3 linked regions of the Oryzias latipes genome follow. The protein of the gene in region 2 interacts with the protein of the main gene of each other region in a biochemical or structural test. Links are inferred from orthologs where the notes say so. Each region holds a gene or a part of one and is shown on either strand. Other genes may lie near its edges.

What was found.
Region 1: the proteins of c-fos (region 2) and runx2 form a complex in vitro, tested with the Homo sapiens proteins (2 studies listed by BioGRID). The link is inferred for Oryzias latipes from reciprocal best matches to the Homo sapiens genes FOS and RUNX2.
Region 3: the proteins of c-fos (region 2) and atf2 form a complex in vitro, tested with the Homo sapiens proteins (3 studies listed by BioGRID and IntAct, with this or other methods). The link is inferred for Oryzias latipes from reciprocal best matches to the Homo sapiens genes FOS and ATF2.

The regions. Positions count from the first base shown.
Region 1 is NC_019882.2:3,176,175-3,179,175, forward strand, and holds part of runx2 (runt-related transcription factor 2), read left to right. Parts: intron 1-174; coding exon 175-336; intron 337-3,001. UniProt on the Homo sapiens protein: Transcription factor involved in osteoblastic differentiation and skeletal morphogenesis. Essential for the maturation of osteoblasts and both intramembranous and endochondral ossification.
Region 2 is NC_019882.2:17,152,007-17,156,193, reverse strand, and holds c-fos (c-fos protein), read left to right. Parts: upstream 1-1,280; 5' UTR 1,281-1,425; coding exon 1,426-1,560; intron 1,561-1,918; coding exon 1,919-2,140; intron 2,141-2,235; coding exon 2,236-2,343; intron 2,344-2,456; coding exon 2,457-2,722; coding exon of another isoform or gene 2,723-2,758; coding exon 2,759-3,122; 3' UTR 3,123-3,606; downstream 3,607-4,187. UniProt on the Homo sapiens protein: Nuclear phosphoprotein which forms a tight but non-covalently linked complex with the JUN/AP-1 transcription factor. In the heterodimer, FOS and JUN/AP-1 basic regions each seems to interact with symmetrical DNA half sites.
Region 3 is NC_019879.2:22,381,646-22,385,828, forward strand, and holds the start of atf2 (cyclic AMP-dependent transcription factor ATF-2), read right to left. Parts: upstream 2,919-4,183; 5' UTR 2,843-2,918; intron 2,218-2,842; 5' UTR 2,190-2,217; coding exon 2,142-2,189; intron 1,295-2,141; coding exon 1,198-1,294; intron 1,098-1,197; coding exon 979-1,097; intron 876-978; coding exon 750-875; intron 426-749; coding exon 247-425; intron 1-246. Other genes in the region: atp5mc3 (ATP synthase F(0) complex subunit C3, mitochondrial), read right to left, coding at 3,813-3,927, 4,018-4,183. UniProt on the Homo sapiens protein: Transcriptional activator which regulates the transcription of various genes, including those involved in anti-apoptosis, cell growth, and DNA damage response.

The sequences.
Region 1 (3,001 bases), about 14 Mb from region 2:
GCAAACAGGTAGATCTGTTTACAGTCAAACCCTCCATTTGTCCCTACAGATGTTTTAGTGATGATTTAGCACCAACATGTGGAGCCTCTGGATGAGTCGACCTGTGATGATTCTGTCTTTCATTCTCTGTCCTTTTTTTTCTCTTTCTTCTCTCCCTCCATTTCTCCCCACTAGACCCTCGTCAGTCCCAGTCCTCTCCTCCCTGGTCATACGAACAGACGTATCCGTCCTACCTGAGTCCCATGGCGTCCCCCTCAGTCCATTCCACCACCCCCCTCTCCTCCAGCAGGGGCACGGGCCTGCCAGCCATCAGTGACGTGCCCAGACGATTGCCAGGTAGAAATCCTCCAACTCGTTAGGGGAAAAACGAGTTGTCACGGGGACAAACAAAAGCAGAAACGTTTACAAGAGGGGGAAAAAAAAGTTTACCAGCAAGCTAATTTAAGCTGTGAGTCACGAGTCGTTTCTGCAAAGAAGTTCAAATGACGTTTCAGCGAATAAACTAGATGTTTCCTTTTTTTCTAGAACTCCTTTGATCCCAAAGCAGCACGAGTAATAACAGGCCCACAAATAATAAGAGGCTTGAAACTTTAAAAGGTCCTGCAGTGATAGACAACTTTCTCAAGGCATTGTAGCTTGCAATATGTGCAGCATCTGTGTTGCAATTTGTTCCTCCTGAAATCTCCTGTAAAAGCTCAAGACAAGTTTCTCCTTCGTACACCTGTTTGACTCTCTGCCATGTGCGATTTTTTTTCCATCACTCTTTTTTTTTTTCCTGTTCTCCTCTCCTCTGTTTGTGTATGTTTATATACGTCTGCATGCTTGGAGCGATTCGGCGTTGCAGCCATGAATCAGACAGAGTTTCAGATCCAGCCAGCTGCTCCGCCAGCCTTTGATTTGTTTGGTCTTCCCCTTCGGCTTTCATCTCTGCGAGTGTGGAGCTTTGCTCTCGAGGCGCTGCACATGTGAGAGCGTGCACAGGCCCCGCTGCACACCTCGCACCTCCAGAGGGAAGTGCCGCTCAAATTCCTGGAGATCGTACAGAAACACTGCGATAAAGAGGCTTCGGCTTGTGCCGGTTTATCAGGTCGAGTCATAACATTTCATCGAGAAGGGATGTTTGTAAGACCCACCTCCAAACATTGGTCTTGCCCGTCATCACAGGCCGCCTTCCAGAATGAACAGTGGCTCCAACATTGTAAAGGAAGAGACAAGAGTTTACTGAACAATGTCGGTCAAGGGACAATTACTATTATTATTAGAATTTAATTGATCTGCTGGAAACTTTAACAACCCACTCCGATCTCCTTTTGGTCTATTTTCAAATCAGAATGCTTTATTGTCATTCTACATAATGATACAACTAAATCATAGCATCCTTGGAGTGGTAAATACTATAAATCTAATCAAAAAATATACAAGACCCAATAAAAATACAGGCATGAAAAAATAGAATAAAGAAAGTGTCCCCAGTTTTTTTTTTATCTATGCCATTTTTAAGTTAAAATAAAAAAACCTGTGTTATTTTCTAGATCATACTGTATTTTCTTTGGACTATAGGCCCCACCGGAGTATAAGTCGCATCAGCCAAAAAAATGCACAATAAATCATTATATAATTGATATATAAATCACACTTTTGAAAGAAAACTATTTAACAAAATACAGGAACATTTCATCTTGCAAAGCAAATCATAATAAAGGAACATCTGCACGCTTCACTACCACAGTAAAGCTTCACGAAAGGAGGAATCTAGTAAATTAGCTCAACATATGGACAATTATCAAGATAACCACATTATAAAGAACAAGCTAACAAGTCAACTAAACTCTTTATATCACTTCAAATCCATTGAAATTTTCATCCTCTGTGCCACTGGAACAACTCTGTAAGACTCAGCGTGGCATCTTCTTCTGCGTCGGTCTCAGTAGCAAATACTTTAACACCTGCAGTGAGTGCCCTCTAGTGGTTGTTGCTATTTATTTATTTTTAATTCTCATACAAGTTGCACCCAAAAAAACATGGTAGTTTCTGCAGAGCGTCAGTAGTTTATTAGAAACTTGCATCTAAATTGTGAGCTGGACCGTTGATGCACAGCAACCCCGCCCCCACTTCCCGACACCCATCTGTTTTTTACATTCTCTCCTGCTAGCTTAAAACCCTTCCGCCCACTAGGAACATTTCAGCTGTACAGTTTCCACCAGATGCCAGCTCGGACGAGGCAAACAAAGACGTACACGGATCTGATCGTCTACAAGTGGATGCATCAGAATGGAGCGGAGCAGGGAGCTTCTTTCTAGCGTATTTTCTACGTAACAAATACGATCTTTTTCAAACCAATTTTTTTCTTAAATACAATTACTCAGACATGCAACTTTAAGCTTGATTATTTTTATATATGTTCTCCGTCATCAGAAAAGTGCCACAAGACCATGTGAAAACCACCTAAACACACTTTTTATCAGAGTGGGTTCATAAAGGCTTTTAATTGGCAGCATGTGCTATCTCGCCAAAAGACTCTGCAATGCCGCCATGCGCATAAACTCGCCTCCTCTTCCCTCGTCTTCCCCGCCACCCCCTGTCCTCTCACAGCAGACATGGTGACACAGAAGACGCCTGGTGATTTATGATAAGAGCGCCATGGCTGGACTAAACCACCATGAGGCGACGGGTGGGAGGGGGGCAAAAAAAAAAAAATAGTCCTTAAACTCTTCTCCCAGCAAAGAGCTCACCGCAGCCAGTTAGTGGTTTTTCCTTTTTTTTGGGGTGGGGGGTGGTATTCTTTAAGGGATGAAGCAAAATGAGGGACGAAACAGCTAAATGGAGCAGCTCCCTTTTTATTATTATTTTTTTTATTTTTTTTTTGTGAAATCCTGGAGCCGACGGGAGGCGAGGAGAGGAGCCACATCAGAGCTCAGCCCTGCCTCATTATGGATCTTATGGAAACTGTTTCTGCTCAAAGTGTTTCCACATGTGCAGCTCCTGATTCATCCCAACTGCT
Region 2 (4,187 bases):
TTACATTTTTATAAGAACTAGACATTAAAAAAAAATATAACAAGCATAATTCTGTATACATGTTACCTGGGTTCAATACCCAGGGCGTGCAATGAGCTGCCTGGGTCTCCCTGTGCCTTGAAAAGACAGGCCTGTGTCAGGAACGGCATCTGGCGTAAAAACTCTCTTCCAAACCACCTGTGCTGAGTGCTGTGGAGACTCATAACGGGATGAACCGAAAGGTGAACAACCTATTTTATAGATATTTCCATATACAAATCAGCAAGCAAATGTAAAACAAAATAAATAAGCAAAAGGTTGTCTTATTATCAAACTTCCTTAAGAGCACTGAGTCAGGATTATTGGCCCAGCTTCAAAGCTGCCTCTTGTTGTCCCTTTTAGGTGACAGTTGCTGAGTGGGATTTAAATCAAGTGAAAGGTGGAGGATTCCCTCTTTCCTTTGGGGGAAGACCTTTGTGAAGAGCTGGGCACACCTCACCTAGACTAAACTAATCCGCTGTCTAGGACAACTATTGCAAACAAAGCAATTGCGAGCTGAACACGCCCTTTTATGGGAACAAGCATTGCATCAGGGTCAGGGTGTGAACTTCTGTCCCACTTTGAACTGTTCTTAATTATGTTTATCCAAATAGAAAAATCACCGCGTGGAAAAAGATTTCCACATTTTAAATATGTGTCCAAATAAAAAAGTAAGATACAAAACTGGATAAAGAGGAGAAAAAAAATGAAACCAGAAGAGAACGATCATTTCCCTTAACTGTAACTTCGTGTGACATTTAATCCCCCAAAATCTGGATGTTTAGTTTTTGTTTACTGTTCTTGTTTGGGCAGAACAAACTTTTCGTATCGTTATCCCGTTTCTTTTGCAGTTTTTTTTTCAGCAGCCTCGCTGTTTGTTGTCTTACGTAAGGTCGTGTCGCCGCTCGGCCAATGTCGGATGGTGTGTTTCCCATCAAGGTCCGCCCCTTTACAGGATGCACCATATATGGTAAATGACGTAGGATTCGGGGATCCCGATCCTGTTTATGGAATATTCCATTTCTTGTCAAATTGAACATTAAACGAGCTCCAACGGGTTTCTTTTTGCTGTTTTATTACAAATAACTTGTGTTTTCGCTAACTATGACTGTATATTGACGAAACAAAAGCCATAATTCCCGCCACAGCGGCGTTGCTATGTGATTGTTTGGCGCTTTCACTCTCACGGTTTTAGGCTCCTCCCCCGCGCTGCGTCACACCACCAGGAGGATATAAAACCGATCTGAGCGGCTGGAGCAACTAGATCAACTTCGATTAGCAAAGTAGAAAGTCCTGCTCCATTTCAGAAGAAGCGCTCAAGGAACTTTCTCAAAGCCACAAAAAGGAATTTACCCACTTTTGAGAGGAGTTTTACTGGAATCTTCCTTCTTGTTTTCTCCGGGAAGTATGATGTTCACCGCCTTCAGCACAGATTGCGACTCTTCCTCCCGCTGCAGCACCGCGTCTCCGTCCGGAGACAACCTGGAATACTACCCGTCACCTGCGGGCTCTTACTCCAGCATGGGATCTCCTCAGTCTCAGGTAAATTGAAACGACGATTGCTTAGATGGCTTCACAGTCTTTTTGAACTTTAATTTATAATTAAATTGAGTGAAAGTCAGTGGGCCAGGTTAATTCAAAACTTTTTCAAATTAATTTGAACATTTTAGAATTAATAAATAAAACCTGAAAACAAGCTACTTTTTTTTTTTATAAAGAGTCATAAAAAATTAATTAAGGAGCATGTTTGTCCTGCTGCACACAGAGCAAGGCAGTTTTCACTCCACCGAGGATACATAACGTCAGAGCTGACATCATTGAGATATTTTTAAAGCCCAGTGTTTTAAAACCCTCCTGAAAGCATCACTAACTTCCCGACTCCCCTCCCTCTTTCTCTCAGGATTTCACTGACCTGACAGCATCAAGTGCCTCCTTCATCCCCACGGTCACAGCCATTTCAACAAGTCCAGACCTGCAGTGGATGGTCCAGCCTGTGGTCTCCTCAATGGCCCCCTCCCACAGAGCTCACCCTTACAGCTCCAGCCCCAGTCCTGCTTACCCCAGATCATCCCTGAGGTCTTCATCCAAGGCTTGCTCTTCCAAACGTGGCAAAGTAGAAAAGGTGAATTATCTTTTTTTTTTCTAAATCTCAAGTGATGCAACAGCTGAAATGTGTTTTTAGAGCTGGAGTCTCAACTTGTTGTTTTGTTCTTGCAGATAAGCCCTGAGGAGGAAGAGAAGAGACGAATCCGCAGAGAGAGAAATAAGCAGGCAGCAGCTAAATGCCGTAACAGGAGGCGAGAGCTCACAGACACCCTTCAAGCTGTAAGTATCCCTTCAGATTTACCCTCACTTATTGAAAATGTGTTCTTTCCCAGAGCTTAATAACCAATCCAACATCCCACTAAGTGACACTTTCTTTCTTTCCCATCTGATAGGAAACTGACCAGCTTGAGGATGAGAAGTCCAGTCTGCAGAATGATATTGCTAACCTGCTGAAGGAGAAGGAACGGCTGGAGTTCATCCTGGCTGCCCACCAGCCCATCTGCAAAATCCCATCAGAGCTGCAGACCGAGGTTCCCCTGACCTCAATCTCCTCCACCCACCCATACCTCTCCACCACAGAGTCTTCCATGCCCACATTTACCTCCAGCCAGCAAACCATCCCTCCAACTTCCAACTCTATTTTCTCCAGCTCCGTCCTCTCCACCACCACCTCGACCACCACGACCACCACCACCTCCGACAGCACTGTCAAGATGACAGACCTCGAGGCTTCCATTCTGGAGGAGTCTTTGGACCTGCTGGAAAAAGCGGACATAAAGACGGCACAGTCTGTGCCAGAGGTTGACCTTTCCAGCTCCCTCTACAGTAACCAGGAATGGGAGCCTCTTCATGCCTCTTCAACCAACATTGACTTTGAGCCCCTGTGCACACCAGTGGTGACCTGTACTCCAGCCTGCACAACCAACACGTTCTCTCTGGTGTTCAACTTCCCAGAAGCTGAGACCTTCCCCACCTGTGGCGTTGCACACAGGAGGGGAAGCAACAGCAATGACCATCCCTCAGACTCTCTAAACTCACCCACCCTGCTAACTCTTTAAGGACTTTCAATGAAAAAAAAAAGTATTTCCTCCCATCAAGTCTTGAAATATTATCAAACTGTGCAGAGGCATGAGCTTTGGAACAGGAATGCACCAGATGGCAAATCATATGTTACCTGCCTTTATCTCTACTTGCCTATTAACACCAATGTAGCAAGTTATTAAGCATGATTTATATATATTTAAAAAACAAACACCTAGTTGTTCTAAGTTACTATTATATTTATGGTGCTAGATAACAATACTTGTTGTCAATAAATGTGTTTTCAGAGCAATAGCTGTATAATTCTGGTTTGTTTTTTGTTATTTAAATGTCAAAGTAGATTTTTTTTATTTTATTTTTTTCATTAAACTGCTGTGGTGCCATGGTCTGCAAGTCCATCAGACTGTGAAGTTTTCTGTGAAAACATTGTAATTTATGAAATTTGTATTTATTTATTTTTACAGACGAATGTTGTGCAAATAAAAAATATATATTAACGCAGTTATTTGCCTGATTGTCACTTTAATCATATACCTATCGAGAATAATGTTGAGATATTATACACAGGTTTAATTTGAGTGTCTTCCGCTTTCGTAAGCGTCAGTAGCTTCAAGCTATTTTTCTTCTGTTGCCAAGGCTAACTGTACGTCAGGGCTTTGACGTCAGTGCGTTCTCTTGCATTTTCTTTTTGTCCTGAACGCCCTGCGCAATCACGTTGCACTTCCGTGCCCAAATATAGAATTCCAGTGGAGTCGGTGGCTGTGCTGCGGGCTGACGGCTCTTTTTTTTTTTTTTTTTTTTCTCACTTCCGCTTATATTCGCACATCTCAGGGGTTTCTCTGCAAAGAGAGCCACCGAAACTGTCGGTATATCCAACGGAAAGGAACAATAACTACGCTGGTTTGGTAAATTAGTCATTAGCCGTTCTGACCGAAAAAGACGAGACAACAGAGCGGATACAAGATTACGTTTATTTTGATTGACCGTGCCTGAGCAGGGCTTGTTTCGCTGGTACCAAAAGCAAATCATTCTGAATACAATATTTTTATTTTATTTCGTTTTGTTTGATCTGCAGGGTTCAT
Region 3 (4,183 bases), on a different chromosome or scaffold from region 2:
ATCTATATTTTTGAACAGTACATAATGTGAGTAGCTTTTTAAAGATGTCGCTAAAATTGGAAGAATTCACAGTTGATTTGGCGTTTACAACAAAATGAAAGACTTACACCAGAGTGCAGATTGATTAAAAAAATAAACATAAAATACAAGCACATGCCTCACAAAATGCACAAAACTACACAAAAATGATTAAAAAAAACTAAAAACTAAGATTTGTTTTAAAAATGGACGCATTCCGTTACTTACACTATGGGTCTATTAGTGGATGGAACCTGGGTAATAACAGAGCTAGATGTTGGCGATGGGAGAGCTGGCTGTATTACAACATTAGCGTCCGTGGTTGCTAGAAGTACATTGGGAACTTGGAGGGATGCAGGATGGACTATAGTGGATGTTGGCAGTGAGGCAGGCTGCAAAGTTAAGTCCTGAAAACATCATACAAGACCTTAGCTGCAGAAATGTTTAGTGAACACCAGCTTAGTTAGTTACAAGAACTTTTTGCAAATATTTTTTTGGTTGGTTTTAGGATTTCCAAATCAAAATTAAGAGCAGTGTTTGAATAAAAAAAAAAAAGAGAGTGGGGTTTGAAAATAAAAAACAAATAAATCGAAGAATTCAAGCAGGTGAAAGAAGAAGTACAATTTCTATAGTAAATGAATGATTACAGAAACAGGAGGATTCTTAATTATTCATGTTTAATAGCACTCCTAAAACCCATTAGAGAGCTAACTAAACAGAAAAAAATCTACCTTGTCATCGTTTGTGGTGGACTCAGGATGAGGAAGGGGGCTGTTCCGATGTGCATCTACAGCTGCGGGTTCCTCAGTTTTGTTGCGTATGACTGGTGTAGCAAGAGGTGACAAATCCAGAGGTAGCTTTGGGAAGGTTAAAAGAAAAAGAAAAAAAGCAGATATAAACTCTGGACTTCAGAGATCATCCTAAGAGAAGATTTGACAGAAGTTACAGAACAAACTCAACCTTCTTCAAGTCATCTTCAGCTGCTTTTTTGAAGTCATGGTCAAAAGGACTGGCAAGTTCGTTGAAAAGCCCGACTTCCTCGCAGTTTTTCAAAAAGCGAGTGGGTGTCGGCGTTTGATCTGTAATAGAGAAAAGAAAAGATAAAAGAAGAAAAAAATCACACTTAAGGAGGCAAAAACACACAAACATCTATAGACATAAAACTTAAGAAGGACTCACCAGCAATTATGATATTGTCGGTCCTCGCTGGGCCAAACTTTAGTGTCATCTCGTGTTTGTGTCTGTGGACAGCCAAGTGGTCTTCATTTGTAAATCTCTGAGCAAGGTAAAAAGGAAATAAATGAATAAAAAAACAACTTTATTCTGCATATCCTTTGAGAGACAACAATGACTCACAATGTTAAATATGTTAAAATACTAACAATTTCAAAAAGTAAACGGTGCATTGCTAAAATCCAAAGAAATCAAACCCTAAATAAACATAAACATAGGCTTAATGTGTGTTTTTATGTTTATTGTGACTGTGCGCGTACATTTACCACAATAATTACATATTTTTACCCTTTAGCCAACTTTACTTTGGCACTAGAAATTAAACAGTTGATGTGACTTCAAAAAAGAGATGCTTTTTATTATTTGACCCTTTTGTGAATCCTCAAATTGGATGCAGACTCAGGCTTTTATTAACTCCAGTGATTCTGTTTTTAAGTGGATTTATCTGTACCACAAATAATCACAAATCCTTCAAACAGTAACTTCAGCTTTTAAAATGTCTGATAAGAATGCACAAACTACGTTTTTTAGTTGAATTATTCGATATTATCAGCAAAGATAGCAAATGTATGTAAAATGTACACATTGAGTACCCAAATATTTGGTTACCATATTTGATGCATATATATATATATATATATATATATATATATATATATTAAAGTTAGTCTCTGGAGAAATACAACTACCGTATCTCAAAACATGTAATATTATAATACCTTCAACGTTTTTAAATAATCTAGAATGTAAAGATGTAAGCTCAACAACTCCACCATATAAATTTACAACACATTGGAATTGGTTTTTTTCCTTCTATTTTTCAAAAAATAAAAATAACTGAATCACTAACTAAAAAGAAATAAAAACTATGAAGAACTATGTCAGCTTACCTGTCCACATCCTGGAGCAGTACACTGGAAGGGTTTGTCATCACTCATATTAAGAAATTCTTGCTATATTTTTGTCCTACAATAAATGAATAAAAACAACATATTTCATCTCAATTAACTTAATTTCCATTTAAAACAGAAATAAATTCAACAGCCACAGAAAAGACAACCACGTAATCGTGGCTGATCAAAAGGAGGGTTAGAGGGTTAATTTTTAGATAATAGTAGAAATGACTCGAGACTCGAGTGGGACTGTTAAGGGCAAATCTAGTGAAAGGACAAATAAGATTTTGGACAAAGCCAGTGAGGAGGTGGGGTTGCTCTGTCTGTGCTTATTTATTAGCTCGGTGATGCAGTGCAGGGTCGTTCGGTGTGTGGTCGTTCGGATTGTGTATTTTTCAACACGAACAAAGAAATTATGCATGTTTTTTGTTGGAAAAAAAAGTTTCACGTTTAATTCCGACTAAAGTCATCACACAACAAAAGCTACATTATGATCCGATCCTCCGCTCCAGCCTGAGCTGAGATAACGCACAGCCGTCGCCATGTTAGAACCAACAAATCACTAAACAGATAACCTTTTGGTATTTAATTTGAGGGGGATTAATTTCACTTGGAAGAAAATAACACCGATTTCAGATAAAGGGTGCCCTTTTTTGCATTTGTAATAAAACTCGCTTTCAATTTGAGTTGTTACTTACCCCTTTAGCCACAAACGTTGTTTTCCCAAACCCCAAAGTATCGCGAGAAAACAATTTCTTCTTCCGTAAACGTCACACTAACCCAAACGCCGTAAACATACTAATGGACACTAATAAACCCATTTACCCATAAATTTACCCATTTACCCATAAATTCAATATTTTATAAATAATTGCCATCATTTCTACTGCATTACAACTTTATTTACAGTCTACGGAACCACCTCAAGTTAACATTCCTTTTTTACTCAAAGGCCAAATTTCTTTAAAACAATTCAATTTAGAGAAACATTATCGTGTACTCTATATTAAATTAAATCACAAGGAACTATTTTTGATTGAAGCAGTAAACAAACCACATGGGTAATTTATATTACAAAAAAAAAAAAACATTTGGTCAACTTTGTTGCCAAATATTACTAATTTACTGACTTCCAAATGACAATTACTTTTTAACTGAGAATTTTGTTCTGATGGACCGTTTTAGTGGCAACTCATTCATTTGACAAACCTCGAAACCCTGTTGGGGTCGGGAAATAAATTCAAAAACCCAAATTATAATTCAATCTAGATTTATTCAACGTGATTTACAAAAGCAAGTAATCACTTGTTGCCTCTTACAGTTCTACTTAACTGCAACTGAGTTAAGTGCTTATGACGGTGGACCCCATATAACTCTCAGAAAGCAAGTTGATTCACAAGGGGAGAAGATGTTCTGACATTTGTGAGAGCAAACTGCTTTCAGTTACCATGATATTCCAGACATAGACGTTGCTGCCACTGATAAATACTCAAATGCATGTATTAAATTCACGCACATTGTTATGTTTGTACATGTTTTGTTTAATTTTGACTGTGTCGGAAAGACTTGAAAAATTTACATTTCCATGACACCAACACTGAACAATTTTAGAAGCCACAATAAAATATGTAGTCACATCTGTAATGAAAGTGTTGGGAGGGCAGTGCTTTACATTGCAAACAGGATCAGAAAAGCAACCATCAAACAGAATAGTCCCATAGCTTCAGACAGGGCGAAACCCAGGATGGCATATGAGAACAGCTGCTGCTTCAAAGATGGGTTCCTGCAAACAAAAAGAAGTCAATAAATGTAAAGAAAACATTTGAATTGTACCCCAAAAAAACATGTACACAGTGACCAAATGGCAACAAACCTGGCATAGCCAATAATGAGACTACCGAACACTGTTCCAATTCCAGCACCAGATCCAGCGACTCCGACTGTAGCGGCTCCAGCACCAATGAACTTGGCGGCGGTGTCAATGTCCCTGCTGATGGCACTGGTCTGGAAGCCTCTCAGTGTGACCTGTGTGAGGGGGC